Danio rerio: one gene and its partner. The protein of the gene in region 2 purifies or fractionates together with the protein of the main gene of each other region. This does not show direct contact. Links are inferred from orthologs where the notes say so. Each region holds a gene or a part of one and is shown on either strand. Other genes may lie near its edges.

What was found. The genes of interacting proteins can lie anywhere in the genome.
Region 1: the proteins of zzz3 (region 2) and wdr5 purify together in Homo sapiens (affinity purification with mass spectrometry; 5 studies listed by BioGRID and IntAct, counting the BioPlex papers as one, with this or other methods). This does not show direct contact. The link is inferred for Danio rerio from reciprocal best matches to the Homo sapiens genes ZZZ3 and WDR5.

The regions. Positions count from the first base shown.
Region 1 is NC_133196.1:19,680,397-19,684,525, reverse strand, and holds the start of wdr5 (WD repeat-containing protein 5), read right to left. Parts: upstream 2,884-4,129; 5' UTR 2,721-2,883; intron 1,380-2,720; 5' UTR 1,330-1,379; coding exon 1,249-1,329; intron 1,064-1,248; coding exon 955-1,063; intron 1-954.
Region 2 is NC_133177.1:9,148,159-9,152,271, forward strand, and holds the start of zzz3 (ZZ-type zinc finger-containing protein 3), read left to right. Parts: upstream 1-1,180; coding exon 1,181-2,580; intron 2,581-4,113.

The sequences.
Region 1 (4,129 bases), on a different chromosome or scaffold from region 2:
CTCAGTCATCTTTTGTTTCACCATTGCAGGGATGGATTTTAATGTTGTAACAAACTATTTGATTTCTCGTTGGGTTCAGGCAGATATCTTCAGCTCTAAGGAGTGGTACATGGTGAGGTCTCCTGCTGCTGTAGCCCATTCGCCTCAAGATTGAACATCTTATGCATTCAGAGATGCTCTTCTGCATACCTCGGTTGTAACGAGTGGTCATTTTAGTTACTGCTGCCTTTTTTTCAAATCAAACCAGTCTGGCCATTCTCCTCTGACCTTTGGCATCAACAAGGCATTTGCACCAACAGAACACCAGCTCACTGGATTATTTCTTTTATTGGCCATTCTCTGTAAATCCTAGAGATGGTTGTGCATGAAAATCCCAGTAGATCAGCAGTTTCTGATATACTCAGATCAGCCTGTCTGGCACCAACAACCATGCCACGTTCAAAGTCACTTAAATCACCTTCCCCATTTGGATGCTCGGTTTGAACTGCAACAGATCGTCTTGACCATATCTACATGCCTAAATACATAGAGTTGCTGTCATGTGACCGACTGATTAAAAATTTGCATTAACGAGCAGTTAACCAGGTGTACATAATAAAGTAGCCAGTGAGTGGATAAGCAAGCGTTTCATTATATCCATGAAAGCATTTGAATGTATGTATGTGTATATATATATATATGTATAATAATGTAACATTATATATATATATATATATATATATATATACACACACACACACACACACACACACACACACACACACACACACACACACATATACATACATATATATATACACACACACACACGCACTTCTTTTTTTCCATCCAGAAATAGCTTTTGAGAGAACTATGTTTATCAAAAAAATAAATAAAAAATTGATGCCTTTGTTAATTCTATATGCTCTAATTATTTCATATTAATGCAAGTGCTGTATTAATACAAGTACTTACACGAGCTGGCGAGCCACTCCCCACTTGGACTGAATTTAACTGAAGAAACTGCTTTTGTATGCCCAGCCAATGTGAACTTCAAGGTGTAGTTTGGCTTGACAGGTGCTGACTGAGATAGAGCAGAATACACATAAACAATGACATTATCACAGATCATATAAAATTTAGATCCATAAAAAAAGCTGCTATACCATTTTTACCACAGTATATCCGAAGCACAATGTAAAAAACACCCATAAGGAAGGAAAAAACTGGTCACAGACGGGCGTTTCCAGCAGTGTTTTTTTTCTTTACCTTACTCTGGCTGGCAGAGGCAGCTGATGCCGGCTGTGTTTTAGTAGCCTCTGTGTCTGGTTTCTTCTCCTCAGTTGCCATGGCGACCAAGTTGGAGAGAATGGGTTTACAGAGGCAAGTTCAACGTCAATCTGAATGGCAAAAGGAGAAGTACTAATGAGTGTTTAAGTGGTTTTACATGCATTTATTTAGCAGACGTCTATTCTAAAATAAAGCAAGTGATGCAGTTCTCACAAAACAGATGAATTTTAATTTAAGACTTCTAATTTGAATGACACAATAAATGCAGGAATTAGGTGTTACAATCAACATTTATGAAATCCCTTAAGAATCCCGTTATAGTTTTAAAAACATTTTATACCGACCTACAGGTAAAACTGAAAAGCACATGTTGGCTTCTTTAGCACACTTGTACGTGTCACATCCTTTTGTGATCATACATGGATCATTTTGTCCCAGTGCTCCAAGTATAATGGTTTCCTAAAATTGTGTGTGATATTAAAGGGATAGGTCAACCTAAAACAAAACTCATTCCCACAACCACCCAGAGGCTCTAAATTTCTTTCTTCTATTCAACAAATATTTTAAAGAATGCAGAGGAAAAAAGCGACCACTGTCTTCATCAGTTGAAAAAAAAATTACTATGGAAGTCAATGGACACTGCTTTTCTACATGTCTTATTTTTGTGTTCATCAGAAGGAAGAAAGTAAAGCAGGCTTGGAATGAGTGGAGGATGATAAAAGAACGAGAAAATTTCTTACTTTTGTGTGAAATATCACTTTAACGTTTGAGAAATTTGGATTTGACCCTAATTTAATTTCCTATATTAAATTGTTGATCTTTTGCATTAGAACTATCACTTTAAGATCACAGCTGTACATGATTATTGAGAAATTGCTGCTAGAAACGGCAACATTGCATATAGAGCATCAGGGGTATGCAAACATATATGTGTAATAGATTAGTATAAACTAAAAGGTTTAGTTGATCTACTATTAATATACGATCAATAGAGAAAAAAAGGCAAACTACAAAAATGAAAACTAGAACAAGAGTTCAATATTATATTGTTTGGTCGATGACATGTTTGTTTGGAACTGAAACAAGTAAAAAAAAAAATAACCTGGATAAACACTAACACTAAAATGCAGGTACATTTTCCAAAGCTCTTGTCTGTGTCAGCGATAGATCTATGAAAACAGCAATACTGTTAACGTTAGCTGCTAGGCTATCTGAGAGGCGCAGGGCCTCAGAGCAACCATGGACCACCTGCAACCCTTGAAATACACCCACATTTACACATTATCGTTTACAAACTCGTGGTTTTACTGCAATCGATCAGGTAAAACCCCCGTCCCTTCCCTCGTAAAATAGTTGAAGCACAGATTAATGGATGTCTTTTCTCGGCACACATGCCTCACTGTCTTTCTCCATACATTCAGACAACAAAAGCAGCAAGTAAAATCACTCACCGGCGGCTGTTAAGCGGACAATAAGAGCTGCTTTCTGCTTTTTGGATGAGTCCACTGCCTGGTTTGAATAGAAATGTAATTATAAATCGCAAGAGAGGCTGTTTTGATCATGTAATGAGCTAGTGATCGAGCTAAATACGATGGTGGATGAGCGCCTCTCTACCGCAGGCTCAGGCGGTAATGTGGCAGTGACAACCACTGCGCACGCGCAAAACATTCTTCTTCTTCTTCTTGTGTGTTTTATGGCGGTTGGCAACCAGCTTTTGGTGCATTACCGCCACCATCTGGATTGGAGTGTGGATCCGGAGTTAACTAAACCATGTTTTATAGTTAAACAAAGCCCAACCATAAAAATCACAAAAAAAAAAAAAAAAAAAACAAAAAAAAAAATAAAAACCCCAAAAAAAATTTAAAATCAAATTTTTGCGCGCAAAACATTACGGCGGATCAAGAGGGACATTTTTTCAAAGGCGAGATGTATCGACTAAACACCGGTCACCATGTGGCAGCATCAGTTATTACATTTTCACTCTTTGATGTTTTTCTAACAATAATTTAATAATTATTTTTAAGTCATTTTGATAATTACAAATGTTATTATTATATAATTAAAATGAGCATACAATACCAGAAAAAGACATTTTATTTACGTATAAAAGTATAACTTAAAGGTGTACTTATTTAGTTCATAAATTGTTCTTTTGAGAAGGTACCGCACAAGTGACAGCTTTTGTACTTTTTGTGTATATCATTATATTATATTACAGGATAAAGACGAATGTGGTTATTGTTTGATTATTTTCAAAGTTTGTCTCCTTCTTTTTCCTTTATTATGTGTATGCTGCTTACAAATTATATGTGAATTATATGAAAACACGCTCTTTCCAAAATATGGAATTATACGAACTGTATTGCTAAGTAACGCTGGGGTTTTATATATTTACTAATTGTTTAAAAGCACCCATGATGTTTTTCTCAATATTAAATATACTTATATAAATCTATATAAATTAGGTTTAGAATAGGGTTCCCTCCATGAGCACGATCACGGGGCATCTACAAGATTGAGAACTTGTGGTTTAATGCTGAACAGCAGATGGTTGAGCGCGCCAATGCGCATGCGCACAGCACTTCGCGTACCTCATCTCTGTGCTCCTGCCCAGCCTCCAAACAAGCGACGAGCCACTGGGATTGCCACACGGTAACTCCTTTCCTGAAGCCTTTGAGTAAGTAATCGTCTGCATTTTTGGTTTAACAACATCTTTTAGTGTAATATTTCGCATTTCGTGGCTATATTTCAATAGGGTCTGCGCTCAATCAGTGAATCACAGGAGAAGCCGTTAGCCAGTGGCTAGTTGTTTTCAACAAAGCGGCAATCTAACAAAGCCTCACTGAAATAACATGACTAA
Region 2 (4,113 bases):
CCCATGTGCACCTCCTTTGGAAATGACAAACTGACTCTAAGCTTATTGGCATTGCTTCCAAGGTGCGCGCTCGGCAGACACATTTTAATAAAACTATAGCGCTTCATACCGAAACTACATACCAAACTTTTTTTGTTACTGATATCGACAATGGTGTTCAGTTAATAAATACAGTTAAATCTTTCTCCTAACCATCTCAGGTCACGTATTTTTTATTTATATTTTTTTCATACAAGTTAAAGAAATCATAACTACTGCGCTTCTACCACCTCAGTTTCCCAGAACTTCTGGAGCTTGTTTAGTCATAAAAGCCTGTGATCTCGATTTTTATCGCCCAGCCCTATGCTTCACCCCTGAGCCTGACATCATTATTAGACAATTCAACACCCAAGTAGACCCATATTCCTATGCTTTGCTCAGTCCAGGGTGCAGAGCCCTTGAATGGGGACTTAAATGTTACCATGACAAAGCAAAGCAGCAACCACAGAAATGTTTTATTGTTTATTTTCCGAGCGATTAAATTGAAGTTTTATAATTATGTTTTCAAAATATGCTGTCAATTTCAATCTCTTCCAGTACTAAACACAATTCTTACCTATGAAGTACTAAGAGAAAGTGTTGGTGGTATTTCACAAATGTAATTGAGTATTTAAGGAATTTAATTGAGTGTACTAGAGGTTATAGGAGGAATGTGTTTTCTGCAGTCTGTTTATATATCAATAATAATACAATTGGTTACAGTGAAGTAAGCATTAGTCTTTAATCAAGAACATGATCTTTCAACTGTTAGTTCTGCAGCTTTATCGTACGTTTTTGTTTTTTAATTTTTAAAAGTTAAAACTTTTCTGTGTGTAAATGTAACTTCTTATGAACTTGTTTTACATGAATCCACTACATTTCAGAATATACTAACCTCTGTTTAAACTTGTGAACATTTCAGTGCTGTGCAGCAACTTTGATTTAACCTGAGCACATTTGCATGCATTCTCAAATATGTATGTTCTTCAGGAACAGCAACCGATTACATCTTTTCTGTCTATTTTTTGTTATACACTTAAACCTGTGTAATTTAGAATCTGAACGGTCTGTAATTAGTCTCTCATTGTGTCACTCAGGTGCCCACATACTGCTGCTGAGGAGAGAGCACCACGATGAGGAGACAGTAGGCACCCACCATAGTATGGCCGCGTCCCGCTCTTCGCGCGTCACAAGATCATCAGTGGGGATAAATGGATTGGATGAGAACTTTTGTGGCCGAACCCTCAGGAACCGCAGCATCGCCCAGCCGGAAGAGAGCTCTCCGCCTCCCGTGCCCAGAGCTCGCTCACCCAAAAAGAAGCAGGACTGTCAGCAGCACCAGCAGACCGGAGCACAGGTTGGAAAGGTAACTGAGAGCAAAGCGGAGGGCGAACCCGTGCCTGCATGTGGAAAACGTGGCTTGCCGAGCTCCGAGAAGGAAGATTCGGACAAATTTGATAACTGTGAGCGTCAAAGGTCTGGGTGTGGGCCTGAAGCCTCACCTGCCCTGAAGAGGGCCAAACGCTGTCCTCGCTCAGGTGAATCACAGGGGGCAGAGGAAGAGCCTTCTCTCAAACCCGAGAGCCCCGATCCTGCTGTATTGAAGGAAAATGACGATGGCGCCAAATCAAATAATACTTCAGCCTCAGACAAAGAGGCTGATCAGAAAAAGGATGGCCCAACAGAAGAGATCGCCCCTCAACCAGAGGTCAGCGAGAACGTCAAAGCAACCAATGGCCTCGCTGAACTCTATAGAGAGGACTCAGAAGTTGCGGCCTTACCTGTGGAGCCCTGTGCCTCCCCTGCCACACTCAACAGCAGTCCCTCACTGTTAAATGGCAGCCAGGCTGCGCCCTCATCCCCCGACCCTATTGTGCCTTGTAGATCCCCTCATCCCAAGCAAACCAATGAGCCCGACAGCCCTAAAATTGACTGTGAGAGGAACTGCACACCTGAGGAAGCCGCTGAGGCTGTGCTGTCTCAGGAACCCGAGATGGAGGTAGAGGTCGATGTTGTGGGAGAGGCTGGCCAGGCTCAGGATGAATTCGTGAGAGAGGAGAGCACCAATGGTGACTTTCAGGCTGAACCACAGGACCCTTCTGACAACTGCTCGAATATCTCAGGAGAAACGCTGTTGGCTGCTTCTCAGCTGCCCGCCGAGCCCCCCTCCTTCACAGAGCCTCAAGAACACCGCTACACCCTGAGGACTTCACCGCGCCGCGCTGCCTTTGGTAGCGGGCTCAAAGCCAGCTCCCCCAAACCCACTTCCCCACACATAGACAATGGTTCACTGAAGGAAGAGACCACAATGGTTCCTTTTTTCTCAGAGGACACCAGCCATAAAGACCCTTCCCATGATGCACTGGGACTTTCTTGCGAGGCAGACAGTGAACTTTTCGAGGAAGAGGTTGTCAGCGGAGAGGTCGGAGTGTCTGATAGTAGAGAGTCAAGATCCACCAAAGAGCTGCTGGCTGCTCAGGCTGAGGAAGATGAGGAGGAGGAAGAGGACCCAGATGTCTACTATTTTGAGTCGGATCACTTGGCTCTCAAACACAACAAAGAGTATGTTTAGGTTTACGTTCTTTCATTTGAATCTTTTTCATAATTGCGGTGATTCAAGATTATTGATTAGAAATTTGCTTTTGGCTACCCCAAACCCAGCATTTAAACCCAACAACCCAACTTTGAATACAACGGACATGAATCATGTAGCTTTATGAGAAGTCTTAAGTCGACTGTCAGCCAGAAATACTGTAGGTTAAGAAGTATGTTTTGGTTGACTTTTATGTCTGTCACCAGTTTGAACCTGTTAAAAAAAATCTACAAATTAAAAATCTTTGATCCATATTCAGATTTTCAGATCAGCTACATTTCTATTAAAATTATTGGACTTTGTTGGTGATCTGAAAATCTGACTGCAACTGTAGTTTGGACAGACCAGAGCAATGTTTAAAAACCTATAGTATCGTTCATCTGTTGCTTTAAGGAACCTCATAATGGCGCGTTTTCACTAAGCCGGACGGTACGGTACGGGTCTGTACGAGTCACCTTTATCAGGGTTGCGTTTCCATTGCCAAAAGGGTACCAATGGTACTCTTTTGGTGGGCATGGTATTCAACAGAAAGTTTCAGTCAACGTCCTTCTAGCTTGAGGAAATGTCAAAGTAAAGCTGTGCAATCAGTGCAAACCTCTCATCTGTATCTTTAATCTTCACCTGCGGTTAAAAAAGCTATTCATAAGTTTATAATAGTTCAAAAGGCGACAATAGTAGTTAAACATTGTCGTTTGTTCATGGTTTAGGTTGCTGAAAGAATCATTTGCTCATTTGTTTTTTTGTTTTTCTGGCTTCTTTTTTGTTTTTTCGCACTATACTCTCGCGTTGGTCTGTTTCTGAAAGGATTGGATGTCTGAAGCACTTTATTAATCATGCGCACGTTATTATAATCAGCTCAAAAAGTTTGTTATTTCAAATATAGAAGCATGACGAACGCACACAAGACAGCAAAACTGCTCGCCCTTTAAATAACTACTGGCCACAGGGTAGATTCTGCTCTTTTTGGCTTTGTGGCTGTTCATCAAGACAACGACAAGGTTGTTTGAGCTCAGGTCAACCATGGTTCGTTATTATATGTATATATTATTATGGTCTAGTGCAGGGGTCACCAATCTTTGTTCTGGAGGGCCAGTGTCCCTGCAGGGTTTAGCTCCAACTTGCCCTAATCCACCTGCCTGAGTGTTTTAAGTATACCTAGTATTGTACATATGTATTTGATTAGGGTTGGAGCTAAAATCTGCAGTACACAGACCCTTCAGGAACAAGTTTGGTGACCCCTGGTGTAATGTCTCAGCTGTGTATTTAAAAAAGGTGATTCCTTTGTTTTTATTCTCCTGCTTTTGCGTGTAACGTATCTCTGTAAACCAGTAGCGTTTAGTTGCACGTCTTGCTCCGCCCTTTGGTACCCTTTTGTTGTGCTAGGTACCCTTTGCAAAGGGTACCCAAAAGTGGTACGGTTTGCTTTTTAGGTACCTTTTGACAGTGGAAACGGCCTTAAAAGCGCACTGAACCGAACCGTACCACTAAGTAGAAACGGGCCA